4 linked regions of the Notamacropus eugenii genome follow. The protein of the gene in region 1 purifies or fractionates together with the protein of each later gene. This does not show direct contact. Links are inferred from orthologs where the notes say so. Each region holds a gene or a part of one and is shown in the gene's direction. Other genes may lie near its edges.

Region 1 (7,722 bases):
GCTGTTGATCTGTACTGATAGATGAAATTTCCTATCTCATTAAAATCAAAGCTCCAAATTAATAACAGTAATGATTTCTAAGTCTCACAAACAAGATATACAAGAAGTGATTAAAATTTATAATAAGAACGATTCCTCAATAGATAAATGGCCAAAGGACACACATTGGCAGTTTTCGAAAGAGAACTTACAAGATATCACCAACTTTATGGGAAAAAAAAGTTCTATATTAATAATAAGTAGAGAAATGCAAATTAAAGCAACTTCAAGTTTCAAGACAGTCCATCAAACTGGCAGGTGACAAAAGAAGAAAATAACAAATGTTGGAGGGGCTGTGGGAAAAACAGGTACACTAGTGCATCGTTGGTGGAACTTTGAATTGGGACAGCTATTCTGGAAAGTAATTTTAAACTATGTCCCCCAAACTATGAAAATGCTCATTCCTGTTTAACTAGCTATATCATTACTAGGACCATATTCCAATGAAATCAGAAAAAGAGGAAAAGGATTTATTTGTACAAAAATATTTAGAGCAATTCTTTTCATGAGAACCCCAAACTGGAAACTAAAAGAGTATCCTCTCATTAGGGAATGGCTAACCAAGCCACAGTGTACAAAAGTAACAGAACATTACTTTGCCAAAAGAAACTTAAAAAATGGGACAGTTCGAGAAAGACCTCTATGAAATGATGTAGAGCAAAGAGAACTAGGAAAACGACTTTCCCCAATATCAAAATTGTAGAGTAAAACAAATTTGGAAAACTTTAGAAGTCTGACCAACACAAGTCCAAAAAATGATGGAACATGATACCTCTTGACAATGTGGTGATAAATTAAAATACATAAGACATGCATTTTCAGACACAAAGTAGGAGTTTGTTTCATAAGCCTACAGCTGTTGTAATGAGGGCTTTATTTGGTTAGTTTTTTTCTTACCCTGATCCATGATTTAGATAAAGGGAATGGGAGAGATTAATAAAGAAAAAAATGACATTTAGTAACAAAAATAAATTCCAAGAATTCTCTCTTGAATTTAAGTTCATTTCTCTTGTTCAATCCTTTGTGATAAAAAAAATTGATCTGTAATCTTCACCTTGAACACTCTTCATATACTTCAAGATAAACATTAGATAACCCCTATTTATTTCATCTATCAACTCCTTGAGAAACTCCTACAATGTTTAGGATCCAGAAACTAAAGAAGTCTCAAAAGGCAGAACCAGAGTAACTATGACAAAGGGTAGAGTAGATGCTAGAATGTTGTAAAGAGAAAAAAAATTCAGAGCAGCGTAAAGCGTAGTATTAAACTTTCAAGAAATACTAAACTTTCTGAATTAGTTGAAGATTAACTGCTTATGGTGGACATTATGTGAGGGTAAAGTAGGAAGACAAGGAGTCAGTTTTAATTAAATATGCCTTTAAGGCACATAGTTATTTTATCCTTTATCATTACAAATATCAACCAAGGAAGTCATACCTACTTTGAGAATGTTTTATATTTAACAAAGTAAGAGACGCTTTCTGGAATATTCTACTTAGGTACCTAAAATTTCTGACTATACACCATGGACCTTGCCCATTTATCCACAAGGTAAACAAATATCCCTAATACCTTTACCTCTTTGTTTGTTTAAGAGCCAAAGAGAACTTAAAAGGATTACATCCCAGTTCTTATTTAATGTAGGTGATAATCATTACAGCTGAGGCGGCAAGTATAAGTGTGGTTGAGATCTGTGATTTCAGTGGCATAGAGAACTCAAGTTCTCAACTGTAAACTTTCACCACCAAAGCAGATGCCTGAGGCACTGGAGATAAAGTGACTGTTCCAGGGTCAGTCGGTAATATGTCAGCACCAAACCAAGTTTCCCTGACTGAGGCCAGCTTTCTCCATCTACTATTCCCACAATTTCAGCCTGGCTTCAGTGCCATTATTTCTATAAAAATGAATTCTTAGCATATTTGATTTTTTGATACTATTACACTATCCTTATTCCTATAACTAATTCCACTTGTAGTCAGCTGTGATTCCTTGTTCTTATTCTGTTACGTCCGTGCTCTGCCATTCGCCCCCTGTATCTGTTTTTGCCACCAAGTACCTTACACATCCCAGTAGGATTTAGTCCAATAGAGACAGGTCTCCTTTACCATCACTGTGAATTCTATTTCAAGCTTCCAAAGTGTTGGCAAATCCCTGCTCAATGGCATCAAATACAATAAGCCCATTATTAACTCACTTACCTAGATCACTAATAAATCTCTTTACAATAATCCTGGTCATGGAATAAGAATCATATCTTTGTGTAAATGCAAAACGAGGTGTTAAGGAAGTGAGCCTTAATACAAAAAAACCTAAAATTCATCAAGGGTCTGTATTACTCAGGAAATGCTAAATCTAAGCCAGGTGCAATCAAAGCTTGTGGAAAACATCTAACTGAAGCTGATGGGCTGGATGACTCCAAGTTTAAAATGGACAAAAGCTGGTTTTAGGCTAACACTCTCAATAATTTAGATAAACTGAAGGGAGTTAAGATGATGGGTCAGGACTGAATATGATGAATAATAAACTAACCCCCATGAAGCACGCTGAGGAGGCTGCAGTCTGCGGACACCTGTTCCTCCAGGGCAGGACTGGGCTCTCTAGAGCTCCACTCAGGAGGTTCAACAAGAGGTCCTGCACAGTCCACCCACCCGTAGCCTGCACACCTTTGAAGTGAGGGCTGAATGAGAGATGTTCCTAATTCACAAACTGGAACTTCAGACCTTACACTAAGCGACACCAAAGACGCCACATTCCAGAGAGGGTATGAGTCAAGAGAAAGCCTAGCCTGCAGACGGATATCGCAGACAGACAGCCAGTCTTTATGGAACCCTTCCCGTATCTCCAGGTTTTCTAACCGTAGTCACTAGTTAATTATCAACGATCTGTGCAAAGGAAAGGGGTAAAGACAAAAGGGTTTGCACGTAGCTTGGGCACACGTCCTCTTTGACCTAGACGTACTCTTTTGGATAAAAACATAATTATTTGCACTGAAACGCTCTTTTGAATGTCTTCTTCCCCAGAGGAGAGATGGAAGAACTGTCGAACCTTCCGGACTGACAGAAGAGGCGAGGGCGCGTCCCCGCCACGATAATGTCACGATAACGAAGCTAAAAATGGCTGGGAAAATAAAGATCATCCGCTTACAAGAACCACCTCAGTTTAGTGAACTACGCAGAGGAAGCCTCAAGCTGACGTAGTTTGAAATAAAGACAGCCAATTCAAGAGGTATCGATCGTCGCTACCGCTTAGCAATCACCCTTTTGTTTCCCCAAAGCCTCCTTTTATTTTCAGACTCACAGGCACCCTAACCTCCGGGATCAGGAATTCCCTGAAAGGAAAGGGGAGAACGCACCCCCCTCCCCATCCATCCCAGCCTCCGTCCGTCCGTGCGTCCATCCACAAAGAAGCTGACCACTGAGATCAATAACCACTCACATCCGGCGGGAAGGAGGCTTAATTGTGCCCACAGATACGTCATCTTTCCACGGTTCCGAGCAAAGCCGGGGCAGGACCCGAAGCAGGACCCGGAGGCTGCTCAGGGACTGCGGCATTAGGCGGGGGGGGCCTAACAGCGGAGCAGAAAGCGTCCTCCCCGCCCCCCCCCCCGGGAGGCCCGCCCGGAGCCGCAGGTGCCCGTCCTGCCCGGGGCCCGGAAGTGGTTCCGTCATCCCGGGGGGGATGTCCTCCACGTCTGGGCCCTAGGACCCGCACCTTACGGGGTGACGACCCGGGGGAGGGGGCAGGCGACCCCCCCCGTTCCTTTCCACGCCTACCCCCACCCCCGGCCGCAGTGTGGTGATGCTTCCCAGGACAGACTCGGGATCCCGGGGAGCCGCCCCTCGCCGGCCGCTGCCCCCGACTCACCCGGACGACTGCGCCCCCCTCAGCAGGCGCGGCGGGCCCTCGGGGTCGCCATCCCCGCCTCGGCCGTCCCCCACGGCGCGTTCCCGGAGCCCCGATCTCACCGTCCCGCCGGGGGGCTCCGTGGGCCAACGGGCAGAGGGGCCGCGAGGACCCGCCGGCGCCTCCGCCGTCTCGGGGTGAGCGCGGAGCAGGGCGCCAGGCAGCGCAGGAACACCGGCTGCCTTCAGGCCGGTGACATTTCTCCGCCGGCCCCCTCCTTCCCTTCCGCTTCCTCGTGCCTACGTCACCGCTCTCCCCAGGCCTCGCTGGCGTCCCGCCCCGCAGGGGCTTCTGGGTTATCGTAGGCGGGGCCGGAGTGGGAGGAGAAGTGAGAAGGGGCGCGCGAGAATACGAAGAGTGGGCTGAAGAGACGGCCGCAGACCGACGATTTGGCAGGAGGAAGGAGACTACAAATCCCAGCAGGCAGCGCGCCTGTCCGGGGCCGCCTACCGAGAGAGGGAAAAGGTTCCGCGCGCGGGTTGAATGGGACGCTGCCCTGCTGGGTCCGGCTCTGCCTGCGGGGCGTGGAGGTGCGGCTGCGGCTCGTGGACGCGGGAAGCCTGGAGATCCGGGGCTGAGCCATTCATGCGAGGACTTAAATCCCCTAGTCTGCCCCGGCAAGTCCATCATGCACAGGTAACCAGACCTATTTGCGGGGGTGCACAGCGGAGGTATGGAGGAGAAGGAAAATGTGGATGCTGTGCCTCTCCCCTGGACCTGCGCTGTTTAGCCTTCCCCGCTTAGGCGCTTAGGGGCACGGTAAGTTGGCCAATGGAGGCTCTGGCCTCGTGGCTCTGGGAGCTTCTCTCCAGCCTCCCCGGCCGGGCGTGGGGGTTCGTGTTTTTTCCTCCTCTCCCCCGTCTCCCCCTCCCCTTCTAGGCTTTTTAGATAAATGCACATGTACCCCAGCTCACCACTTAGCAGCCACCCGGACGGCTGAGACTCCCCTGTGCGTTCGCTGCCTGTGCCAGCCCGGGTTGGTTTGGCTCGGACGCTTCGTGGGGGGGATGCTCATTGATGGAAAGCTTGTCAATTTCCTGCAGGAAACACCTCCAGGAGATTCCCGATACAAACAGCAATGTTAATTTCACCTTCACGTGGGGCTGGGACCTCCACAAGACCTCGGATCTGCTCTCAGGCATGGGGGTTGCAGTTCTGGAGAAGGAAAAGGTGGACACTGAAAACATCCCCCAGGAGCTGCTCCTCACGCCAGCCCCTCCGCCCAAGAAGCAGAAGGTGAAAGCCAGGGAAAAGGACTTTGTAATTGCCCGCAGGCCCAGGCAATCCAAAGAGAATAGTTCAGGTAAGTCTGAAAGCCTGAAGTTTGCTTGTTGTACTGCAACACTTCCAGGAGTTAGTAGAAAACTTTTAGGGATGACCGCTAAGCACCAGATCATAGGTTCGGAGATGGAAAGGGGCCCGTGGAGTTCAACCCCCTCTTTCCACAGATGAGAAAGTTGGTAAGAATAAGGTCTTAGGGCAAGACAGGTAAGTATATGTCAGAATCAGGACTTGAATCCTGGTCTTCAGACTCTAAATCCAATAGTGTTTCCAGATGTATTATATTTGCAGATCTCAGTTTGGAGAGTCCATTGAATTATGAAATGGTATATGGGGGACAGAGCTATCAGGATCTGGTGTCCCTCATCTTAACACATACTGGATTTGTGACTTTTGGCTAGTCTCAGTACTTAAGACAGTTATATTGGTACAGGGATGTTCCTCACCCTTTGTTTTCTAAACTGATTTAATTATTGTTCCCAACAAAAAATATAGATTAGCCAATGCCTTCAGTCTTGTCCAGGAACATTTAAAATTTTTACCTTCTGGTCATGATCTGCTTGAAGATATATCTAGGTACATTCCAACCTTTTCACTAGATTTGTGACATGCAGAAGTGAATACATAAATCATGGGGAAGAGTTTGTAAGGTGAAGATCTTGCAGGTTTGTGCTTTGGTTTATACTGTGCAGTACTGCCCTGTACTTATGCATGGGCCTTTTTTCTACAGTCTCTACACTTGGTATTGGATAAGCACTGAATCCTAGATGGGCAATTAAGGACCTTAGGCTTACTCCTAGGTTAGAGTGCCAGACAGGGAGTCAGAAACTCTTCCTGAGTTCAGACCCAGCCTCAGCCACTTACTAGTTGTGTGACCTTGGGCAAGTCACTTAACCCTGGTTGTCTCAGTTTCCTTATCTGTAAAATGAGCTGGAGAAGATGGCAAACCACTTCAGTCTTTGCCAAGAAAACCCTAAATGGTTTGAATAAATGGAGTCAGGGAGAGTTAAGCATACTAAAAAGACAGAAATACAACAAAAGGCTTACTCCCCTGTGGCAAAAGGCTAAGTAAGTATTAGATTAAGTGATGACCTTACCTGAGAAGTAGGGGGAGGAGTTAAAAAGTTTGTTCTGTCCATGAAGTTCTGGAACAGAGGCAGCCTAAGTCTGGTTTCAAAGGCTACTGACCTTACAAACAATTTAGATTATCCCGAGGGGAAGAGAGGAAAGCAGTGAGGTGCAATATCAAAATAATAGACTCATTTCTTTTTTTAAATTCATTTATGTTTTCAGTTTTCTACAATCACTTCCATAAGTCTTAGATTTTCTTCTCCTTCTTTACCCTTTCTTCCCCCCTCCCTCCCCAAGATGGCACACAATCTCATGTGGGTTCTATACATACATTCTTATTTAATGCGTTTTCACCTTAGTCATGTTGCATAGAAGAGTTAAAATGAATGAGAGAAACCATGAGAAAAAACAAAACATAACCCAAGAGAAAATATTCTGCTTCATTCTGCAGTCCTGTTCCATAGCCTTCTCTGGATGTGGAAGGCATTTTGCCTCAAGAGTCCATTGGGAATGTTTCAGGTCCTTGCGTTGCTGTGGTTGTCTAAGTCTACCAGAAAAAGTCCTCCTGCGCTGTGGTTGTTACAGTGTACAAAGTTCTCCTGGTTCTGTTCCTTTCACTCAGCATCAGTTCATATAAGTCCTTCCAGGCCTCTCTGAAGTCTTTCTGTTCATCATTTCTTTTAGCACAATAGTGTTCCATTACTTTCATATATCACAGCTTGTTCAGCCATTCCCCAATTAATGGGCATCCCTTCGATTTCCAGTTCTTGACCACCACAAAGAGAGCTGCTATAAATATTTTGGTACATGTGGGACCCTTTCCCATTTTTATGATCTCTTGGGGATACAGTCCTAGAAGTGATATGGCTGGGTAAAAGGGTATGCACATTTTTGTAGCCCTTTGGGCATAGTTCCAGATTGCTCTCCAGAATGGCTGGATCAGCTCACAGTTCCACCAACAATGAATTAGTGTTCCAACTCTCCCACATCTTCTCCAACATTATCATACTCCTGTTTTGTCATGTTAGCCACTCTGATAAGTATGATGTGGTACCTCAGAGTTGTTTTGATTTGCATCTCTCTAATCACTAGTGATTTAGAATATTTTTTCATATGACTACGGATAGCTTTAATCTCTTCCTCTGAAAACAGCCTCTTCATATCCTTTGACCATTTATCAATTGACAATGGCTTGTATTCTTATAAATTTGACTCAGTTTTCTATGTATTTTAGAAATGAGGTCTTTATCACAGACACTACTTGAAAAATTCTTTCCCAGTTTTCTGCTTCCCTCCTAATCTTGGTTGCATTGAGTTTGTGCAAAAACTTTTCAATTTAATGTAATCAAAATTATCCATTTTGCACTTCATAATGTTCTCTGTCTCTTGTTTGGTCATAAATTTCTTCATCCTCCATAAATCTGACA
Region 2 (7,721 bases), on another chromosome or scaffold:
TGGGTCATCTCCTCCACACTTAGGTGATGTAGTGGATGGAGCCCCAGAATTGGAGTCAGAAAGTCCTGAATTCAAATTTGGTCTTAGCCGCTTACTCAGGCGGTGTGACCCTGGGCAAGACACACTTCCCTCAGCCTCAGTTTCTTCATCTGTAAAAATAAGTCTAATAATAGCACTTAGCTCCCAGAGTTTTTGTGCTCAGCTGACTTTAAAGCGCTATATGAGTGCTAGCTATTATTTATTACTGTTGTTGCGATCTCTATTGTTATTTTCTCTCCTAAGCTGACAGATTCCTTGACATGTAAAAAAGAAGTTATGCAGTCAGGTCTTTGAAAGAGAACATTGAGTACAAGCTGCCAGAATTCATATCTAATTGTTTTTTAAAATCCTTTTTATTGAATTATCAGTGTACAGGAAAGAGTGCATGTAAGTCACAAAGGAATTAGAACTAGAAGGCTTTCGAGGAGGAGCAAAGGAAAGAATTGATGGCTTAGTGAGTAGACATCATATAAAGTACATATTTTTATATAACTGGAAAAAAATAAACTGACCAGTTAGCCTCTGGGGGGAAAAGTTTCTCTCATCATTTCCATTATCCTGTTTAATGCAGGAGCCTTGGCGAGAAAGGAAATGTACTGTATCTTCTTTCCACTGATCTATCCTGGTGGTAGCTACTGCTAAAATGTATAAACCCAAATGACCTCAGCACATGATCTGAAATCCATTAATAAGGAGGGAATGGGGTTTGGAGGAACGGGAGAGCTGGTAAACAATTTTAACTCGGTTTGCAGTCAGCTTTTTTCTTTATAAGTTCTTAAATAAAAAAAGAAATTCACATAGGAAGGCTTTTCTCCCCTAGAGATTTTGTAGAAAGCACACAATTTATTTCTTAATTAAATATAATTTTATTGCATTTTGGTCCATAAAAGATGTACTTAATGTTTTTGCTTTTCTATATTTATTTGTGAGGTTCATATGCCTTAATATAGGATCAGTTTTTTGTGAAGGTACCATGCAGAACGGAGAAAAAAAGTTGCTATTACTTTTTGATTGTCTCCAGAGGTCTTTTCTAAAACTCTACTCAGCCCCTTCATTTTTTTTCCTTTCTTTTTTTTGGTTAGATTTATATAGGTTTAAGCAGAATAAACTGAGGTCTTCGCTATTATACTCTTACTGCTTATTTCTCCCAACAATTCATTTAATTTTCCTTTAAGAATTTGGATATTGTGATACTTGAGGCATATATTTAGTGTTGATATTAATTCATTGTCTATTCTATCTTCTAGCAAAATGTAGTTTCCCTGTCTATCTTTCTAAATTACATTTATTTTTGTTGTTACCTCAAAGTCCTACATAGATGTCAGTTATTCCTGTCATAGAACTATCCCTGGTTAATCACATTTCCCCTTTTCTCATTTTGTGGCTTGTTCCTTAAATAATGAGATTAGCCCCTCTTGGGACAGCTTCATTCCCAGGATTCTGGGAGCTGGAGGTGACCATGGAAATCCAGCTCCCTCTTTTTACAAATGAGGAAATGGAAGCCTTAAGAAGGAGTGACTCACTAAAGATCCTAGAGCCAAAGCAAGACAGGAAACCAAGTTCCCTTTCTATTTTGCCATGTTTTGTGGAACACACATGTTAAAGGGAAACAACGTGCTCTGGCCAATGGTCCATCAGCCCTTGTAGTCTTTGTTATCGTTCAATTGTATCTGACTCTCTGTGACCCCATTTGAGGTTTTCTTGGCAGAGATACTAGAATGGTTTGCTATTTCCTTCTCCAGCTCATTTTACAGATGAGGAAACTGAGGTAAACAGGGTTAAATGACTTGCTCAGGGTCATACAGCTAGTAAGTGTCTGAGGTCAGATTTGAACTCATGAAAAGAATTCTTTCCTGACTTCAAAACCAGTCCTCTATCCACTATACTATCCACTACCCTTAGCCTCCAGGATAAATATCTCCAGGATAAACAGAAACTTGTTTTGTTTTTTAAAGCTCTCCCTACCTTACCCCAATTCTATCTTTTCAGCCTCAATGAATGTTTCTCCTCTTGCCATACTCTGTGATCCAATCAAACTGGCTTTTCCCTAACATACTTGGTATCTTTCCACTGACCTGCCTACCCCCATGCTTGGAACGCTCTTCTCTTCATTTCCAACTCATAGAAGTTCAAGCATCATCTTCTATGTGAAACCTTTTCTGACCCACTCTCCCTATCCTATAGTGCCCTTCCCCTCAAAATCCCTGTATAGGATGTCCCAAAAGTCTCAGTGCAACTTTAAAGCTTTAATAAAGCTTATGTGTATAGATATATGCATATATAATATAGATATATATATAAATAAAATAAATGCAAAATAGTTAAATACAGGGTATTCCAAAAATCTCAGTGCAGTTTTAAGTTTAAGCTGAAACTGTCTTTATATCCAGATATATAATATGTATGTGTATATTCATACATATACCTATCTACCCATCCATTTACTATCTAGCTATCTATCTATCCATTTATCTACTTGTCATCTCCTATATAACTTAAGTTTTTGATTCATTATATTTTTATTTCTAGCCCCTACTTCAATGCCTGGTGCACAGTAGGTGCTTAATAAATGCCTGTTGATTGAGGGCTTGGCATTCTGGACATTATTTTAGGTGTTTGCCCCATATTTAACTTCCTCTATTTGTTCCTGTTTCCTCTTTCAAGGCTTCAATCCCAAAGGAGCAACCTGAAAATGCAAGCATGCCATTGGAAGGTAATTGTAAAATAAAGTGGTAGCTGATAAAAGTATTGAAATGAGAATATCTTTTATGATTACCCTGTGTGAAGTCTACACTACACAGACCCACAAGTAAAATATGCCACATCTTCTAAGTGCAATTGATAAGAATGGCATTGCTTTGGTGTAGGAAAATACCTTGAATTTTGTTTTAAAGTAAAAGTAAAATATGAATTACTGACAAGAAAACTGACCTTACTTCTGACATCTGCCCAAATGGAGTGTCCAGGACAAATCTAGGGGAGGAGGTTGGAACACTGGGAAGGCAGCTGGAGCTGTCCCTTCCAACTCTGAATTTGTGACATGATTCACACTTGAGTATAAATTACCTGATATCAAGTTCCTTCCAGGTTTAGAAGATGGTCTTAGGATTCATTACTGGAAGTGGGCTTAATAATCTTCTAGGTCAGTGATTCCCAGTTTATGATGGATGACAAATAGCAAGGGTTTTTTCAAGGGATAGGGAAATCTATATTCTCCCACCCCTATGGACATTTTAATTTTTATTTAACACCAATCTCTCCAGTTCTTCTCCTAACTCTGAGAACTTTCTTGACCATGTTCCAAGTCTTCTTAGCTTGGGAAGTCACCATGCTCAAAAGCATCCTTCTTACTGTGGAAGGTGGCTGTACCCTGATGCCATCTCACCCTGGGAGATGCCCTGTACTTTGCTGCCTTCTCAACTTGGGAGATTCCTTCTTCTCCCTTCTTCTCTTTGGTTAGTTTCTCCTGAAACCTTTATTTTAAGGAAGAATTCAGGTCAGCCATAATGCTCTTTCATTCCTCTGACATGACTGATTCTTCACATCTTTCTCCATGGTTCCTTCTCAATAGGCTCCTTCTTTCTTTTCCCCTCCCAACAGCTTTTAGCTTTCTTTTAGGTGAGTCTTTCTTCCTTTAAAAAGTAAGCTCCTTGAGGGCAGACTTTCTTTTTTGCTTCTATTTGCATTCCCTTGTTGTAGTCCCAGGACCTTAGCTCTCAATCTTTTTCCAGCTCTTACGGAAGTGCACAGTACATAATAAATGTGTAATAGTGGTTGGCTAGACTCCAAATAATGCACTTGACTAGTATGTCATCTGCCTAGCAATCATTGTCATTTGGATTTTTTATGTAAGTCCAACTAATAATATGCAACTTTTTGGAATTATGTAAACTTTGTTGCAAAGGTTTTGAATACATTTATATTTTACTAGTAACTTTTAAGTTGTTATGAACGCTTAGAAAGTTTTTTGTTTAATAGTACAACTACAGTCACCGCTGCTCTGGAAATGTTTTTGTACTTAAAAAGAATCCTCACATGCAGAAAAGTTGAAGACCATCCCCAGGCAAGAAGCAAGAAAGTTGGGGAGGGGGGAAGGAAGGGGTCTGGGAATTAGTGATACGTTCTGACCCTTTAACCTTTTTCCAGGGACGCTGAAGCGAGGATTCCTACTTCAGGAGGGGTTGGATTGTGCGGACCATTTTCACCTGTGGGAATCTACCACACTATAAAAGATGATCAAAAGACATTTCCCAAAAGGTTCAGATGCCTATGAGTTACTTCATAAGGAGATTCCCCGACTCAGAGCCCTCACCGCGTATTGGAATCTTCCCACCCCCACTCCCAGTTTTTACCAGACAATATGGGACTTAGGGAGAAGACATTCTCAGTGAATCTTGCAATGAGATTCTCTCCTACTCGCAGCCGCTCTCCCACCGATGCCACTCTTTAGAATGTGTACCGCTCGGTGTCCGGCTGTGGACTGTCCGGGCTCTCCAAGATGCAGACGACCACAAGCAGCGGTGAAAGATCGGAAGTTCAACTTCTGACTTAGACATGAGAAGTCACCGCTCCGAGGGCTAGAAAAGGGAGTGATCAGTTGCCCGGGGTGGGTAGACAGCCTGAGAACTTCAGGGCAGGGAAGGGAAAGAGAGCTGCCTGGGCTGGGCTAGGCCATCCAGACTGTCTCATTGGCTCCTCCCGGCGCAGGTGTGCGTGCGCGCCAATCAGCAGCTCCGCGGGGCGGGTCCCTCGGGGCTCACCTGGCTGGCCGCTGGCTTGGAGCCGCAGTATTGGCCCCTGGAAGTGACTGGAAAACCTTTGGTCCACCTGCGCCTCCGACGAGCTGCGCCGCTCGGGCCCCAGCCCCTGCCGCGTTCCTGCCCCAGCTGCGGCCGCACCCCCGGCGCCCCCATCATGGGCACTAGGCGGAATTGGTGTCTCAGCCTCACCTCTCTCCTGCTGCTGCTGCTGCAGGTAAAGCCCCGGAGCAAGAGGGGGATGGGGCACTTTCCGGGTGGATGAAAGAAAGATGTGGGGAGACGCTGATCCTTGCCCTGGAGAGAACTTCGGCTGCCCCCGGCCTCTCACAGCCCAGAGGAGCCCTCCTTACACCCATCCCTTCCTCTGATTCCTCCCTTCACTTCCCCTAAGCTTCCCTCGCCTCCTGTGCTCCTTTCCTACCCCACCCCCCCACCATGGGTGACCGAACTTACTCCAGCACTCGGGACTCTCCTCGGGAACTGGTTTGCTTTCGAGGGGTATTCTAGCCCACGAGCTGGCGCACTGCCCCGCGAGGGGGCAAGTGGGGAAACGCACGGCTTAGGGGATCCTAGCGCCGATCCGGCACCTCCCTCGGTCGCCACCCTTCTCCTTTTCTCTGGGGTCTGTGCGTGTGTGTATGTGTGTGGGGGGGGGCTTGGTACATTGTACCCAAAGTTTTAGGAGAGAAATCTGAGCTGGCCCTGAAGTCACACTGTAAGTGGTGGATCTGGGCAGGGGGGAGAGATGAGCCTGGGGAGAGCTGGTGTATGGGGGGGGCGGATCTCTAGTGTGTTTAGGGTTAATGGGATCTGTGACTGAAAGGGGCATTTCTCGGGGTGGGAATCTCCTGTAAAAGTGAGAGTTGGGGAGCGTGTGAGTTTGGAGGAGGGCAGATGGATAGAGGGGAGGGTGACCCAGGGATTCTGGCTGGATGGGATCGGGTTGCGAGGGAGGGGAAATGTCGCTTTGATTTGGGAAGTTTGACCCGTCTGGGCTGGACACAGCTGACTCTGGTCCGCTTCTCGCCCCTCAGCAAAACTCTCCGAGTCCCCTGGGAGCAGCCGGCTGTACGGATTTCTGGTGGGGAGGGAGCGGCTAAGGCCCGGGACCAGGCCGTCTTCACCCCCAACCCCCACTGGGGCGAGGCTGGCAGGTTTCGGTGCGGGGGAGGAAGGCAACCCCCTCCAGCTCCCAGTCACCCCAAACCTCCCCTTTTCCCCCCTTAGGCGTCGTTATGGCGTTGCGAGGACACGGGGCTTTGCCGTCCGGGCTTTGCCTCCGAAAGTTACACCTTCGAGGTGTCCCGGCCACACCTGGAGCGAGGCCGAATCTTGGGCCAAGGTAAGCGGCCTGTGGGGGAGGGGAACGGCTGCTGTTCCTGCTGTTCCGGTGCCCAGCCCCAGGGGGTGGGTGGGGAATCGATGACCTAGGAAAGTGATCAGCCCTTGGATTGAGGGCGGGAGCGGGGAAAGTTCGCGCTCGGGTTTTGATGAAGTTAACCTTTATGTTGGGTTTTCTGTGTGTAGGAATCCCTTTTCCCTTTGGAAATTATCCCCGCCTCAACAAATACTTACTGAACTTGCCAACGTCTCTACTTTTCTTTTTGTCTCATTATCTTGTACGAGACCTAAAGTCTTAAATTATTTAAGAGCGTCCCCTCATCCCCCATCTTTGCAAAGTATTGAATTTTTCTTCTTAGGGATAAAAATGGAACTGATAATATTCCTATAGGTATTGATTTTAAAAAAAAACAGCCCTGATAACTGACTCAGGAAAAGCATGTGATTGAGTTGGTCATTTCTTGGCCTTATCACAGTGCCATCATAATTACGTTTGAGTTTCTTCCTGGCTGGCCAAGTGAGGAGGAAGTTTGGAATATTATTCACTGTGTAAATGAGTGAAATATGGTATCTTCCAGTTTCAGTGTGAGAGCTGCTGTTTCACTTTAGTTTTTCCTATTGACTTTTTTTTTAAATGAGGATTTGTGATTTTTATCGAAGTTGAAATTTCTCCCCAACCTCCACCCCTTTCTGAGCAATTCTACTGTAACTTAATTTTAAACAGTTGCCTGAAGGCTGGCCCTTGGTCACCCTGAAATTATGTGCTTAGGTGGTCTTCTTGATTCCCAAGATCAGCCCTAAAGTGCTGGATTTGAAGTCTAAAATTTGAGGTCATCTCTTACCTTAGACATTCATTTTTTGTCCTTGCTTTCAGTCGGTTGAAATATAAGTGGAGAGGCCAAATAAGCACATGTGAAATAATTAGGAAACAAATATCATTTTTTAAATTTTTAAAAAATTAATTTGTTTTCAGTTTTCAACAATCACTTCCATAAGTCTTAAATTTTTCTCCCCCTCTCCCCTTTCTCTCTCCCCTTCCTCCCTCCCTCCCTGAGAGAGCATGCAATCTTATATGGGTTCTACACATACATTCTTAAACATTTTCACATTAGTCATATTGCATAGAAGAATTAAAATGAATGAGAGAAATCATGAGAAAAACCAAACCAAAACATAACACAAGAGAAAATAGCCTGCTTCATTCTGCATTTCAGTTCCATAGTTCTTTGGATATGAATGGCATTTTTGCCTCAACAGTCCTTTGGGAATGTTTTAGGTCCTTGCATTTCTGTGAAGGGCTAAGTCTATCAGAAACAGTCCTTCCACACTTTGGCTGTTACTGTATATAGTGTTCTCCTGGTTCTGCTTATTTCACTCAGTATCAGTTCATATAAGTCTTTCCAGGCTTTTTAGAAGTCCTGTTCATCATTTCTTATAGCACAATAGTGTTCCATTACATTCATATACCACAACTTGTTCAGTCATTCCCCAATTGATGGACATTCCTTCAATTTCCAGTTCTTGGCCACCACAAAGAACTGCTATAAATATTTTTGTACATGTGAGACCTTTTCCCTTTTT
Region 3 (7,603 bases), on another chromosome or scaffold:
CTTATCTTGTTGCTGGAAACACGACAGAAGTTCAACATCCCTGTTCTCCCCTCCCCATCCATCCCCATCCCCTCCTTTAAATTCGGAAACTTCCAGAGAAGGGTCAAGAATGGGGCTGCTTTGACCTTGGTACAATGAAGTATGTGAGGACGGGGTCTTTCTTCTTTTTGTATCTAGAAATGTTTGTATTTATTCAATTCATTGTAACAAAGATCATCCGTGCACTTTTCCATGGTCCAGGACCGTGGAGAAATCCAGACGCTGTGCTTTCCGCCCTGGCGCACACAGTAGGACTGTAAACGATCGGCTGAATTAAGTCGAAGTCCTAGAGAGACTCCGGATTTCAAAGTCCACCGAGCCTCGCCTTTATTTAGGTTTGCTTTGGGTAAGCACTTCCTGCAAAGAGTTAAAAACCTGCTTGGGAAAATGGGCCGGAGGAGGAGCTCCGGCCGAGGCTGCGGTCCAGCCTCCCCGGCTGCTCAGGGGCGAGGCGTCGAGGATGCTTAGGGGGGCCTCCCTGCTGGGGTCTCTCTACGAACCGAAGGAGGCGTTTGGCACTCTCTGGTGCGATGGCGATGGGAACCGTGTTCGGGGTGCGGGCTCGAGGTCCAGGAGCCCCGGCCTGGGACACTTCAGCAGCTGCTCGACCCCAGGGACGTCGCTTCACATCCACCTGCCTGAGCCTGGAGGCTCCGCGGTCCAGGGATGGGAAAGGCACTTTGCAAGCCTAGAACCGCTCCAGAACACTCCCGTCGGGGGTTAACAGAGGTGTCATTACTACGGCCTTGGTGCAACCTCCGGGGGCTCGGGGCTGCGCGGAGCCGAGAGGAGCCCCGACGGCCACTCCCAGAGAGGGAGGCGTTCGGGCCGGTCCCGTCGCGTCCCCGCTGGGCCAGGGCGCGCCTCTTGCAGGCATTACGGTAGGCGGCGGTGATAAGGGCACCACGTGGCCTGGGGAGCGGAGGCACCGGCTGGAATGCCCGGAATGCGCCGCGCTGCCTCTTAATGAGCGGAGCCCGAGCCTCAATTAAAGCGATAGCCGCGCGCGCTCGCCGCTCCCGGGGCCGGGCCGGGCCGAGCCTGGACTGGCCGGGCCTAGCCGCGGCCCGCTCCCACGCGGGCAGCCGCCAGCCCCCGAGTCCCAGCCCTGCCCACGCGCGATGGGGGGTGGGTTGTCGCTCCCTCCCCTGGAACTTCCTTAAGCTGAGATTTGCATGACTCGCAGCGACGCCCCCTCCCCGAGTCCCCGCCCCCGCCCCCTCTCAAATTCCTAGGTAAAGGATGCGAAGGCTCTGGCTGCAGAACAATGCCCCGGAGATCAAGGGCAGGACCCGGCAGGCCCCGCCGAGGCGGGGACGGGGGCAGCGGCAGGGGCGCTGCCTTCGCCCAGGCCGCCGTCGGGGACGGGGAGGGACGGAGTGACACAAACGGCTGTGCGAGGTTATGGGGGGGCGCACTCTGGGCTGCCCCCCCAGCACCACCTCCTCCATCCCTCCCGGTGACCCTGGGCACCCACGGGCCCTCGCCCGGAGGAGGGAGGCTATGAGTTCTTACTCCGGGTCGGTTTTATGAGGCCCCTCCCGTCCCAGCGGGGAGGGCAGGGAGGGGCTGCAGGAGGCCCCCCTCTAATAGCAGCTTATCGTGCCCGACTGGGGAGGGGAAGACGAATGGGGGTCCCCAGGCCCCCTCTTTTGACCCCAGCTATGTTGGCAGAAGAGACGGACGCCACCATGTGCTCCCAGCGAGCCCGATCCCGCACACAACCTTGGGGACCGGGGACTTGCGGGATAGGTCCCCGAAACTGCGAGTCGACGGGAGGGTGGTGGGCGGTGAGGGCCACACCCGCTCCCTGAGGCATTCTTCAGGAAAACTCAGCTATGGACCTGGGATGGGTAGGGGTGGGAAAGCAAAGCCTTTAAAGTCGCCGTCAGGTACACGCCCGCAGGTGAGCCCACACCCCCCACCCACGTGGGGAGCGGCGGGTCTTTGGAAGGCTTCCTGTCTAACCCAAATGGACCTGGAGTTGGGGGAAAAGCGTCTGGCCCGGGGGACACCCGCACCCCCAGCCTCCCGCGGGGTGGTCCCCGGAATGTCCCCATTTCGCTACCTGCTGGCCCATCCCATCGTTTCCTTGATCCTGTACAACCCAGCGAAGTCAGACACACAAGAATCCGCCTGAATTAACTCTCGAGTCAGAGTTGGGGTCGGATGGGAAGATCGTTTTAATTATGCTCTTTCTGGTCAGTAAACGAGGTTTCCCCTCCCGTCTGGGTCGTCAGTTCATTGTCTCCCGGGAGCCTCTCCTTATCCCCCCCACTACTTGTAGTGCAGGACATCCCCGTCGGGTCGAATTGGAAAGGGCCAGCGCAGTATGAAACGGAGAAAATAAAAAATATAGACTAATTCTCGGTATTCGGGGGTCTCTGCAATCCTCTTCTTCTCATCCCCCCACTCCACTTCCCAGCCCCGGGTGCTTTGGGAGGTCGGCCCACGCGGGGTGTCAAGGAACTGGCTGGGTGTACTCAGCGCTTCCCAGCCCCGGCTTCTCCTTGTCGCCCCCCAAGAAGGGCCGCACCGGACCACAGAGCCTAGACGGCCCAGGGGAGCTCGGCCTTGCGGCCCGGGTCTTCACGTTTTTCCGCGCACCGTGCACTTTAGCGCCGGTCCCTGGGTCCGGGCCATGCAGCCTGTTAGTTCCTCGTTGAGATCTGCCTGATCCGCCTGGTAACACATCTTGTCTCCTATTGGCTAATGCTAATTCCAGCTTCCTCTGGGGTTTCCACCCAGCGAGGGGGGAAAGCTCCCTCCAGGAATCGGCCTCGGAGCCGGTTGGGTGGCCGGGGGCTAACTCCGGGGGCGCCCACGTCGCGGTGGGGCTCGGGGGTCTGTCGCAGCCCGCCTGGGGCCCTACAGTTTAGCGGGGCAGTCCCACGGCCGCGATTTTATGAATGAAAGAGTGGCGGCGCTGACGTCGGGCCCCGGCGTGGGCGGCGCGGGGTGGCCGGCTCCACGCCGCCGAACCGTGGCCTCCTCCCCAGGCCTCTGAGCCCGGTGGGGAGCCCACCCGTGCTCGAGGCTACGCGTGGCGTTCCAACACCCTAGGGCCCTCGAGGCGCTCCAAGCCCTCCGAACCCTTCCCAGGCTCTGCCTGCGGGCCCCGGCCCGGCTCAGTGAAATGAACGGGATCTCGAAGGAAGGTGGGAGAGGGGCCCAGACTGGAGGGGGGCGTGTGTACGCCCCTGGGCTGGAGAAAGCCCGAGCGCCGGTCCACTGCAGACCAAGGGAGGAAACACGCACTTATTGAGCTCCTTCTGAGGCGCTGTCAGGCACATGGAGCGAGCCACGGATGAGCTGAACACGTTTTGTTAATTTCTTGTCCACTCCCTTTGAAACCCACCAAAGTCCTCCCAAGACTGTGCCCCTGGCCAAACTGGGTGCGCTCCCCCTGGCCACCCCGCGCTGACGGAGGGGGCCCACCTTGAGCCTCTTTCCCCTCTTCCCTTTCATTCCCTTTTCTTTTTCTTCTTTTCTCTTCTCGCTCTCTCCTTTCTTTCTCTTTTATTGATCTCTCCTCCCCCTCTCCCCTCTCAATCTCTTTTCTGTTTCTTTCCCCCAGAAGGAGGCAGGACGGAATTTTGCCGCCTGCCTGTGGATTCAGAGGTTCGCTGCTGAATTCCCCTGAGTGGGGAGGGGAAGAGAGGTGGAAGGAGGCCGGGGGAAAGGTGGTTTGCCTGGAGTTCCCTCCCTCCCTCCCCTGGCTAAAGTCTTCCTCTTAGTACTAGGACAGGCCAGAGGAAATGCTGACCACCATTTTGTTGTCCCGGACTGTTGTGGCCCTCTTCGGGGGCCAGAAGAGCTGGGGGTCCCACGCCGGGAAGTGTGGGCTGAAACGCTGTCTTTTCCAGGGGAGGATCGCTTGCAAGGGAGTTGCTGGCCTTTTGTGCCCAGGCACGCATACATGCGGGCGTTCTAAGAAGCTTCCCAAGTGTCTACAGCAGTGAATCAAAATGATTTTTGAAATCGAAGGGGGAAAAAGGCCTCGCCCCCTGCCCCCGCCTCCCGATCCCCTTTAGCCCCTTTGGTCATCGGCTAGCTGGGGCGGGGGGCTGCTCGCTAAGAGTTCACGTGTCTGCCTGGCCGTCTGGCTGCGGGTGGCCTGGCCTCCACCAGGGTCTGTCCCACGACTCAGGACCAAGAGCTGCCCTTTACAAAGCGCGGGGGACCCCCTCCTTCCCGGCTCCCCCGCACCCCTCTCCGTACTTCCCCCAAAGAAAGCTAGTCCCGGAGTGATTAGCATTTCTATTCGAGCCCGGCTTCTGTGGGAGCTGGGCTGGCCCAGGCGAGGGGCTGGATGGCTTTAAGGCTCGGCCCCTCGGCCCCCCTCGCCTCGCCTCCCCCCGCCCCCGGCCCTCCCCCCGCTTCCCTCTCTCCCTTTCTCATTCTCTGCCGGGCTTTGATCTCTGCTCGACAACAGTCACGTCACTGGGACTTACGGGAGGGGAGTCGGGCGAGCTGCAAAGTCCTGGAGCCTCCAGAGGCTGGAGCAGCAGTAGCAGCGGCGGCGGCGGCGGTGGCGGCGGCGGCGGCGGCGGCGGCGGCGGCCGAGCAGCCCGGCGGCACCCGCAACGTCCGAGCCTTGCGCTCCGCACCGCGAGGCGGGCCCCGAGAGGCTAGTCCCCAGCCCCGCCGGCCCGGCCCGGAGCCCCCCGCGCTCCGCACCGCGAGGCAAGCCGCAGCCGCAGCCCGAGCAGCAGCGGGCTCCCGCCGTCCAGCCCGCCGCCCGTCCGTCCAGCGGTCCGTCCGTCCGTCCGAGCACCGGGAGCAGCCCGCCCGCCCGCCGCCGCCGGCCATGGAGCACCAGCTGCTGTGCTGCGAGGTGGAGACCATTCGCCGGGCGTACCTCGATGCCAACCTTCTCAACGATCGGGCGCTGCAGACCATGCTCAAAGCCGAGGAGACGTGCTCGCCCTCCGTCTCGTACTTCAAGTGCGTGCAGAAGGACATCCTTCCTTACATGCGCAAGATCGTGGCCACCTGGATGCTCGAGGTTGGTGGGGCTCCGCCGCGCGCCCCCCGCCCCGCCGGGGCCGTGGGAAGGAAGGGACCCGGCCGCCCGGCACGGCACCGCACGGGAGGGCAGCCCGAGGGCCGCCGGGCTGGGATGGCCAGGCGGCTGGCCGGGGAGCCCGGGGCCGGGGGGGAGGGAGGGGGCAGGGGGGGGATTTTATTTTAAATTAATATCCAAGGACACGTATGCAGGGGCTGCCCGTGCCAGTATTCCGCGCCATCTTGCGCATTTATAGCGAAGCAGAAGTGTTTATTAATAATGAGGAGGGGGCACGCGTGGAGGGGGCGCGGGGGCAGCCCGGGCCAGCCGCTCCGGGAACTGTGCCCTCGGGTGGGTAGGTGGGAGGGGGGGTCCTGGCCTCCCGGCCGCAGCCAGCCGCACTGGGCCAGATCGCGGGGCCCCGGGGCCGGAGCGCGCTGGGGCCCCCGGGGGGGCTCGAGATGGGCGCGGGTGGACCCCGGGCACCCTGTCCCCCATTGTCGGACACACGGCCGGCCCCCCTCGGGCCTCTGAGTATTTTTAATTAATTTCCGAAGGCGCGGCCGCTGCCCCGGCTGGCAGAGAGGCGGGCGGCCGCGCGCGCTGCGGGCACGGGGGGGGCGTCCCATTTCGGGGCTCCCCACGTGCCCCCAGCAGATCCTACGCGGTCCCTGAGACCGGGGTTCGCTCACGCTTCGCCCGGGGCTCATTGTCAGCGGTTTTGTACGTGCCGGGCGATTTTTTAAATATTTTTAAATATTTTTTGAAAAGATGACGTCTGGGGAAATGCGGCCGCCGCGCCGCCTGCGTGGGGACGCCGCCACCTTTGTGTCTCGGGCCACGGCCGCTGGTCCCGGGGCCGCCAGGCCGGCCGCCCCCTCCCCTCGGGTGGCCTGGGCCCAGGGTACCCCCCAGGGGACAGGGGAAGGAACCCCGGAGGAGCCCCCCCACATCCCGCCCCACCCGTGCCCCCCCACTCCCCCCTCCCGCTCCCTTGCCCTCTGGTCGGCCACTTTTCCTTTCAGTTTCTCGGGCCTCGCTTTTGTTTTGGGTTTTTATTTGGGGGGGCAACTTTGACTTGATTGGTCTTTCTGCACTTTCCACGGCCCCCTCCTCACGGGCCCCTCCAGTCCCGCTGGGTGGGGATGGTGTCTCAGGGATCGCAGGCCTTCTGTTTCTGGGGGGCGGGGAGGGTTGGGGGTCCCTGGCGTCCTGCTTCCATCCCCCTTCCCACCCCCAGGTGTGTGAGGAGCAGAAATGCGAAGAGGAAGTCTTCCCCCTGGCTATGAACTATCTGGACCGGTTCCTGTCCCTGGAGCCGCTGAAGAAGAGCCGGCTGCAGCTGCTGGGGGCCACCTGCATGTTCGTGGCGTCCAAGATGAAGGAGACCATCCCCCTGACGGCAGAGAAGCTGTGCATCTACACGGACCACTCGGTGCGGCCTGAGGAACTGCTGGTAATGATGCCTGCTGTGCCCTAGCTTCCTGGGGGCAAAGGGGGGTGGTCGGGTGCCCCTGGGCCTCGGCAGCAGACCTGGATGCCCCTAACCCTGGCCCAGCCTGCTGCCCACCTAGGTCACAGCTTGCAAATTGCATTGACCAGCCAGCCCCCAGAATTGCAAGCTGCCCTTGGGAGGGGGTGTCCTCTCTGCTGGGTTGGGGGGGTTAGGAATGGGGCCCGTGATCATTCCCCAAGGAGAGAACCCTGGCTGGGCAGAGACAGAGCGCGAGCCCTTTTGCCTACTTCCAGCCCTATCCCTGCCCTCCCCCAAGATGCGCCCCTGCCTCACCCCCCCTTCCCTTCCCTTCCCTTCCCTTCCCTTCCCCTCCCCTCCTCCAGCCACCACGTTTATACCGAGCTAACGTGGCCACAAAGTGGGCAGCGGCTGCCCTCTAGCGGTGTCTCCGCGTGCTCGCGGCTCCTGAGCCTGGCTCCTCTCCTTCCAGATGGTGGGAGGTCCTTTTGTCTGAACTCCTGGAAACAGCACCCCCCCTTCCCCCGCCCGCCTCCCGTGGTGACCGCTGGTCATCCGTCCCTAGGAAGCCTCCTTCCTTGGGTGGGGGAGGCGCAGCCCCCTCTCCACTTCCATCCTGGCATCCATCCCCAGGGGCATACTGGGGCATCCCCTCCCCCTTCCCTGCACTACCCGTGCTCTCTCCTTCTAGCACATGGAGCTGCTTCTGGTCAACAAGCTGAAGTGGCACCTGGCGGCTATGACCCCCCACGATTTCATCGAACACTTTCTGTCCAAGATGCCTGCGCTGGAGGAGAACAAGCAGATCATCCGCAAGCACGCGCAGACCTTCGTGGCGCTCTGTGCTACAGGTATGTGGGGGCGTGAGGCGCCGCTGACCCACTTGGCACTGGGAGGCTTACTCAGGCGAATGTGCCCGGGGGTCCTGTGCTTGGGCACTCTCCTTCGCCCTGGGAGTGCCCACCGTTCACAGGGATGTGCCAGCCCACTTGGCATCAGGCACCGGGAGGCTCACTCAGGTGGATCTTCCCAGGGCCGGCCTGCTTGGCATAGGGCAGCAGGAGGCTCACTTGGACAGATGT
Region 4 (7,608 bases), on another chromosome or scaffold:
TGCATTATTAACTTCATTACTCTGTATTACAAATCTGCATTATTAACATTTTCTTAAGTCTAGACAATCAACAAATCAAGTCCAGATTTGTAGCAGTCACATTTCTAAAGTATACATACTCCCACTAAAAATTTAACAATGGGCTCTGATTAGAGCTAGTGCCAGGACAGTCCTGTCACAGCTTGTTCACAGCTATCCACCATGCACCTCTGTGTGATCCTCATTTTCTATTTTTTTTGGCATTGGATATACAAAAGCCAAAATGGAAACAATTCCTGCCTTCAAGGGGCTTACATTCTATTAGTGAGGCCAGACTTAATACTGGAAATTAAACTTCTAACAGCAGACCCAGGAAGCAAGATTTAGGAATCAAATATCAGACAGGACTAGGCAATATAGGACGTTTTTTTCCTCTTAGGTTCTGTGCCTTCTTACTAGAGTTGTCCAGATGTCAGGGCTAGAGATGAGACAGGGCTCTCTCTAAGTTGGAACAGGTGCCTGGAGTTGGGCCAGAAAGCCTGGTGTGGTAACCAGGACTGCATATTGGTCCGGATCCAGGCTCTGGGTGCACCCAGGAGGCACCTGAATACATAGGGAAAGCAGAGGAGGAACAGAGAAAGACCAACTTTGCCCACTTCAGGTTTTGCTTTGGGTTGGCCTCAGGTTTCAATAATTAATACTGTACGATGAAAAAAAAAGGCAGCTTTAGGATTGCCTTGTGTGGCTCAAACTCTGTCAGTCTGAGTCTGAGGTGATGACAAGCATCTCCAGCCCAAGGGTCGGTTCATGCAAACTCAAGCATGAGTATGATTATTGACACCAACAGGAAATCTTATCAGCAGCTCTCAGGCTAGGAGCCCTAGAACAAGAGCGCTCAAAAGGGCTAAGGCTTCTGGGTATGACATCTTTCAAGTAGATATTAACAGATAGTGTTTAAGCTTCTATCTGCCGCTGAGCTTATGTGCTGCCTTGGGCCAGTCCCATCTACTTTCTGGACCTCTTTTTCTTTATCTGTAAAGAAACTGTCCCTTCTCACTCAAAGGATTCCAGTTTAGCTTGTTTCTTTTCCAGTCTGCTCTTCTCCTTGAGGCTGGGGACAGGACATCCGTGGCATGTGGCCCAGAGGAAAGAACTATTTATTTTCATCCTGGAAGTCTGCAGCAATTTATGTGGCAGATCAGCCTGTTCATAGGCTGCCCTAGAATTGAGGGAAGGGTCAACCCCAAGGCCACAGGCAATACCAAACCAAGGAATGGAAATGGTACCAGTATAGGGGTGTGCCCTTTCTGAAGTCTGAAGAGGTGAAGTCCCAGCTAAAATCCCATCTTCTTCAAGGAAACCTTCCTCATTCCCCTTAATGCTGATGACTTCTCTACCTTGATTATCCCCTATTTATCTTACATACTTATTGTTTGCACGTGGTTGTTTTCATGTACCCCCCACTAGACCGAGAACTTGTAGAGAGCAGGGATTAATCTTTTGCCTTTCTTTGTATCTCCTGGGCCAAGTATGGGACCATGCACATAGTAGGCTCTAAATAAATGTGTTTTGGACTGACTGACTGAGATTAAAGCAGCACTTTCAGTGAAAAAGGAAACAATACATTCCGGGAAAGAGGTCTAAGGCTCGGATAGCTCCAACGAATATGAAAAGGCCTGCGGAGACTACTAGGTTGCCTTAGAGTGAAGACTTCCTCTTTGTTCTCAGTCATAAGACCCCCACCTGTCTTAGGGGAATGGTGACTTTCTGGTTTCTATAATAATGGGTTCCCAGGGAATCCAGGTTGTGAACTGGAATTATAAAAACTCTCACCTCCTGCTGGGGTACTCTACCAGCCTGGCCCTGGGTGAATTGTGGGAGGGAACCCAGAGGGGACCCTACCCTAATCTCCCTCTCTGACTCCTAGAAGGATCATTTCCTTCTTACTACTGATCCACACTGCTTGTTCTTGACCCAGTGCTGCCTTCTTCAAGAAAGAATCTTGCTATTGCTACATCTGCTTCATGACATTCATTCATTCATTCATTCATCATTCATTCATTCATTTATTCATTCATCCATCCATCCATCCATTCAACATCTGTTATGTGTCTGCCCTGTATTGGGTGAAATACAAAAGTTTAGGTCTGATACAATCCCTCTGTCTTTCTTGCTTTTCCTGCTCCTTGGGCTTACAGACCTGCCTTCACTATTCTTGAGTGCCTGTTTCCCAACTAGACAGATGTTGCCGAGTCACCTCTAAAATGACAGGCAGTTGGTGCTGCAGTGGATAGAGAACAGGGACTGGAGTCAGAAAGACCTGAGTTGAAATCTGACCTCACGAATATACTAGCTGTGTGACTCTAGACAAGTCACTTAACCTCTGTTTGCCTCAATTTCCTCAAAATGGGGATAATAATAGCACCTCCTTCCCAGGGTTGTTGTGAGAATAAAATGAAAGAATATTTGTAAAAGTGCCTGGATTGTACACAATGTTTATTCCCCTTTCCCTTCACTTCTAAAATGAGGGAACTGTCCAGTCCAGAGGGTAGATCTGGGCAGCTTGGTAGGTTGCAAAGGTTTTTTGCTGTAGGGGTTGGGTGGGGGTGGGGTAGAGGGGTGGACCATACACACCCAAACCCAGACCTTCTCTGAGACTCTCCCATCTCTCAGTAATGATCTCCTTGGAAATCAGGTACGTAGGTTGCTAATCCAAAACCAGGTGTTTGCAAGCAGCTACAGAGAATCTGGGCCTGAGGACTCCCATAATACTTTTAAGATTCCAAAAAAACCTGGTTTCTTCCCAGGGCTAGTCCAGTCCAAGTTAATTGGTGTGTTCAGTTTCCCCAATCCCTGTCAATTTGAGATGACAAGGGAGACTGAAAGGAGGAAGGATCTCCCAGAAGCAGGGGAAAATCCATTCTAGGCCTACATAGGAAATATGTTAATTTGTCTTAATATCTTAATCTTTAAAAGGGAAAAAAGGAATGCAGAGAATTGAAAGCCTCTAGGTTGAATGGGGGGGAGGGGAAAGTTGTCTCTCAGGTCAAAGGGGATCTATGTCTGTGAGACAGGTCTCTGTGGTAGTGGTGTATCTGTAGAAGTAGAGATTATGTGTTAGGGGGTCCACGTGTAGGATGTTTCAGGGTTTGGGGATGGTCTGTGATTCTGGTTTCTGGTATGAGGGAGTCTTTGAGTCCCCAAGTTTGAACTTTTTCTGGGGGAATCTCTCTGGGCTAAGGGTTCTGTGGGTGTTTGGAGGAGGGTGTTCCTGGACTGAGGACCTGGGTTTGGGGAATTGGGAGGGTGTCTCTCAGATGACAAGCCGGGGGGGGGGGGGGGGGGGGGGGCTGTCTTTGAGTTTAATTGTCAGTATCTCTGAACTGAAAGGTCTAGGGGAGAAACTCCTCCAGAGTTCATATGAATCTCTGCAGTCCTTGTGTTTTCGATGGCTGTGCCCCATGACTGGATTGTCTCCCTCCTCTCTGCTGCCTCCTGCCATCCCTGGCCCCTTTTTAAGAGGAGGCTCAAATCCGACCTTCTGCAGGAGGCTTTTCCTAGTCCTCCTACTTCTCACTTCCTCCAAGTACCTTTCCTATGTTTGCACAGTATATATCTTGTATATACAGTTCTTTGCCTGTAGTCTCCTCCATCAGAAGGTAAACTCGGTTTCTGCCTTTCTTTGTACCCCCAGCACTTAGTTCAATGTCTGGCACATGTTGTTAGTTAGCTGAGTGCGACTCTACTGTGAGCCCATGACATGGGAAAAACCATGGGGTTTTCTTGGCAAAGTACCGGAATCGTTTGCCATTTCCTTCTCCAGTGTGTCCTTATTTTACAGATGGGGAACTGAGGCAAACACAGGGGCGGCTGGGGTGGTCAGCCTTAAGTCTAGAAGACCCCTCAATTCAAGCCTCAGACACTAGCTACGTGACCGTGGGCAAACCCCGTTTGCCTCATTTTCTCCTCCGTAAAAATGGCAAACCATTCCAGTATCTTTGCCAGGAGAAGCCCATTACGGGGTCACGACTGAGCGACAAAGCAACTTCCCCAGGGTCACACAGCTAAGAGGTGTTCTTATAGAAACTCAGATCTCTCCGACTTCAGGCCCCGCGATCTCTCCAGGGCACTGCCTCGCTGCCCCTGACTGACATATAGGAAGCGCTTCATAAGTGCTGGCTCGGCAGGGCAGACGCTTTGCAACGCTTGGGGAGTTGGTCTGGGAAGGCGGGGGTGAGGGGAATCTCGGAAGCGTACCTGGCAGGGGTGGGCTTCTCGGAACTGAAGGAGAGGTGTAGGGGATATCTGGACTTAAGGGGTCTTGTGGGAGGGTTCCATCACCAGCTGGAACGGGGCGGGGCGGGGTTGGGCAGGGCCGAACTGGGCAGGACCAGAGCTTCCGAGTCCGTTCCTTCCCGGCGGCGCGCCTCCCGGACAAAGCCTGCGCATTTTCCTGGCGGTGATTGGCTGAGAGTGACGTGCTGACCGCCCCCCTTGGACACGCAGGCCGGGGCCGGCGCGCCGTAACCAATAGCAGGGCTCGGCGCCGGCGCTTCTCTGTATCAATCTCGGAGCTGCCAGCCAATGGGAGCGCCGCTACCCGGCTCGTGCCCCTTTCGCGGCAAAAAGGATTTGGCGCGTAAAAGTGTCCGGGACTTTGCGGGGATCAGCTGGAGAGACCAAAACAAGCTCCCAGCCCCGGCTCCGGTCCCGGGCATTGCTCTGTCCTCCAGTCTCCCGCCTCGGCTCCATCCGTCTGTACGGATCCCATCACTACTGAACCCCGGAGTCCAGGACCGCGCATGGGCCAGGGCCCTCTCGGAGCCTCCGGCAGCTCGCGCCCCAGCCCCGGTCCGGGGCCCTGAGCCCTCGCCGGGCAGGCCAGGCCGAGCCGGAGACTATGGATCTGGGATCCGGAGCAGGCTCTAGTGCCGAGACCCCCGGCAGCGGATAGTGCCCCGAGAGGCGACCGCGGAAGCCCGCCCAGCCTCGGGCCGCGCCCCGCCCCAGCCCTCCCGGCCCGCCGGCCAGTCCCTGTCCCTGGGATGTGAGCCGGTGCCCGGGGGAGCGAGCGAGCCAGCGGAGCCGCCATGGCCCTGGACGGCAGCGGCGGCGGCGGCGGCACGTGCGTGGCGGAGCTAGAGGCCCTGCTGGGGGCTGGGGGGCTGCAGCTGCTGGAGCAGCAGATCGTCATCATCTCCACCCAGGACGAAGGCCCGCTCAGCGCCGCCGCTGTCCCCGTCACCGCCGAGGGGCCCCGAGAGGCCGAGTTGCTGCTGTTCGCTACGCCCCAGGCGCCCCGGCCCGGAGCCAGCGGACCCAGGCCTGCCCTGGGCCGGCCTCCGGTAACTACTCCACTCCCCGCCCTCCCAGCACCATGGGCGGGCCTCGGCCCCGGGCATCTCTGTGAGCATGCATCTCCACGGCGGGACCCGAGCGCCAGGGGCCCTGGGCAGCTTTCCAGGGCTGATCCCACGGCCAGGAGGGCGGCTCTGCGGGCGGGGGCACGGCTGGAGGGGAGTCTAATCGGCTGTACCAGATGGATGGGTTTGCGCCAGAGGGAGCCCCCTTGCAATGCGCCTGCCTCCGGGGTGGAGCTGAGCTGTGGCCGCCTCACAGCGCTGGGGACTCTCTGTACCTTTGCCCTCTCAGAGAACGTGGCCTAGTGCTCCGAGGCCGGGTCTGGATAGGAGGGGGGCGGCGGTGGAAGCTGGCTTTCTCCTCCCACTGGACGGTGGGCTCTGGCCTTTAGATACTCCCAACCCCCTCCACTCAGTGGAGAGACCCGACTCTGGCTGCCGAAGGGCAGCCCTTGGCCTGGGGCAGAGCTGAGATTGAGGATGGACCCTGGGTGTCAGTATTTGAGTCTGTTCAAAGTCCTGTTTTATTAACCACATCACCGGTGGCAGTAAAATGAGGTGGTGGGTTTGTGTCAGTAGGAGTGGCTACACGCTGTAGAACAGGAGTGCTCTTTGCCAGGGCTGGAGTGTGTGTGTGTTTGGGGCGGGGGGGAGGGGGGGGCAGATCATAGTTGATTCAAGAGGAGGATGAGAAAGAATGCTGTGGGGTCCTATGCTTGCAGCTGCCCACCCAGTGCCCCTGTAACATCTGCTGAGTGCCCCTGGGTACTCGAAAGGTGCCCAGGTGTGGGCGCTGCCTTTCCCGGCTCTGCTCTCTTTGCCCCCAGAAATGGACCAAAATTGAAGTGGGCTGTTTGTGTGAGGCCTCGGCAAGGCGGGAATGGGTTCTGCCTCTCCCCCATTAGGGAATGAGGGTACAGCCTGGAGTGGCAGCTGATGTTCTCCCTCCCACCGCCCCCTCCATCTGTTGGTCCTCTCCACCTGCCTTCATATTTTCAAGGGGCTTGTTGCCATAGTGTCTAAATGCTCAGTGAACTTGTTCAGCTCCCCTAGGCCCCCTGGGGGAGGGGAAGGGAACGGGTGACTGAGCTGGTCCTTGGCCTCTGTGGTGTGGTGCCTGGGTGGCTGGGGGAAGGGCTGAATGAGGCAAGAGGGAGCAGTTGAGCTGCTTGTGGCAAGTAGTCTCCCTCCCTCTGCACCTCAGCTGCCCTGCCCCTCTCATCCCCCTTCCCTCCCTCCATTTTCTCTATGAACCTGTAGAACCTGGTTGGGTTCCCTTGGGTTGAGACCAAAGAAAGCTCTCTCTGCTGTTGGAAGCCAGACACCAGGCCCTGGGTTTGGCCTTAGTATCTGGTCCTGATAGCACTGAGACCCCTGGAGGTTGGTGGTCCTACCTAAGAGGAACTAATGTGGGAAAAGGGGGAGTTAGGAGAGCTGGCCTCTGTACCTGGGACAGTGAACTGTACAGATTGGGTTTGGCCTGGGATTCCTAGGACATGTTTTGTGGTCAAGTCAGAGTCCTAGGGCCTTTCCAAGGGACTTCCCCAAGGATATCTGGGATATTGATGAGGCTACTGGATTGTGTAGTCTGGAAGAAGGAGGAGGCGAACCCCAAACAAAACCTGTCTGAAAAATTAAAAAAAGTCTTGGCCCTGGGGAGTGTTGAGAAAAGGGAATTACAGCAGATGCACCAGTCATGTTGGGAAAACTTCCTGAAATCTAGGCCCTTCTTCAGCAGCCAGCGATTCCGATTGGCTGTAGTGTGTGTGTGGCTGTGTGTGTGTGTGTGTGTGTCTGTGTGTGTGTTGGGGAGGGAGATGAGACTGCAGTGGTTTTTTGGATAGAGGTCGTAGAAGGTCTCCAAATCATATGGCAAACCCCCACTGTGGGCTGTGATAAGGTGCCCTGCTAAGTTGGCTCTCCTGGGTAAGTCAGGGAGAGGAGATCCCAAAAATGATCTGCAGACCTACCTCGTGCCCATCTGAGTCCATGCCATATGGGTTTCCTGCCTTCCCTTATTGAACTGGAAAAGGAGCTGCATTCCCAGGGGACTGATAGTGGTGGGGAGTGGCACAGAGGCATCAGAGTGTAGAGGAGAGAGTCCTAGATTTGTGGTTAGATTTGTGGTTAGGAGCTGGGTTCTAATCTAACTTCCACCACTTATCTACTTATCCCTCTCCAAGTCACTTCCCTGGTTTCCTTATCTGTCACACAGGGCCTCATGCCTCTATATGGACTCTGATGTCTCCCTTTTCTCCTTGCCCTGTTT

What was found.
Region 2: the proteins of SKP2 (region 1) and cadherin-1-like purify together in Homo sapiens (affinity purification with western blotting; 3 studies listed by BioGRID and IntAct, with this or other methods). This does not show direct contact. The link is inferred for Notamacropus eugenii from reciprocal best matches to the Homo sapiens genes SKP2 and CDH1.
Region 3: the proteins of SKP2 (region 1) and CCND1 purify together in Homo sapiens (affinity purification with western blotting; 3 studies listed by BioGRID, with this or other methods). This does not show direct contact. The link is inferred for Notamacropus eugenii from reciprocal best matches to the Homo sapiens genes SKP2 and CCND1.
Region 4: the proteins of SKP2 (region 1) and E2F1 purify together in Homo sapiens (affinity purification with western blotting; 6 studies listed by BioGRID). This does not show direct contact. The link is inferred for Notamacropus eugenii from reciprocal best matches to the Homo sapiens genes SKP2 and E2F1.

Annotation. Positions count from the first base shown.
Region 1 is NC_092875.1:424,995,221-425,002,942, reverse strand, and holds the start of SKP2 (S-phase kinase-associated protein 2), read left to right. Parts: upstream 1-4,709; 5' UTR 4,710-4,960; coding exon 4,961-5,246; intron 5,247-7,722. UniProt on the Homo sapiens protein: Substrate recognition component of a SCF (SKP1-CUL1-F-box protein) E3 ubiquitin-protein ligase complex which mediates the ubiquitination and subsequent proteasomal degradation of target proteins involved in cell cycle progression, signal transduction and transcription.
Region 2 is NC_092872.1:708,185,842-708,193,562, forward strand, and holds the start of cadherin-1-like, read left to right. Parts: upstream 1-4,709; 5' UTR 4,710-4,953; coding exon 4,954-5,013; intron 5,014-6,026; coding exon 6,027-6,141; intron 6,142-7,721.
Region 3 is NC_092873.1:21,909,318-21,916,920, forward strand, and holds the start of CCND1 (G1/S-specific cyclin-D1), read left to right. Parts: upstream 1-4,595; 5' UTR 4,596-4,849; coding exon 4,850-5,047; intron 5,048-6,287; coding exon 6,288-6,503; intron 6,504-7,212; coding exon 7,213-7,372; intron 7,373-7,603. UniProt on the Homo sapiens protein: Regulatory component of the cyclin D1-CDK4 (DC) complex that phosphorylates and inhibits members of the retinoblastoma (RB) protein family including RB1 and regulates the cell-cycle during G(1)/S transition.
Region 4 is NC_092872.1:417,786,151-417,793,758, reverse strand, and holds the start of E2F1 (transcription factor E2F1), read left to right. Parts: upstream 1-4,595; 5' UTR 4,596-5,069; coding exon 5,070-5,324; intron 5,325-7,608. UniProt on the Homo sapiens protein: Transcription activator that binds DNA cooperatively with DP proteins through the E2 recognition site, 5'-TTTC[CG]CGC-3' found in the promoter region of a number of genes whose products are involved in cell cycle regulation or in DNA replication.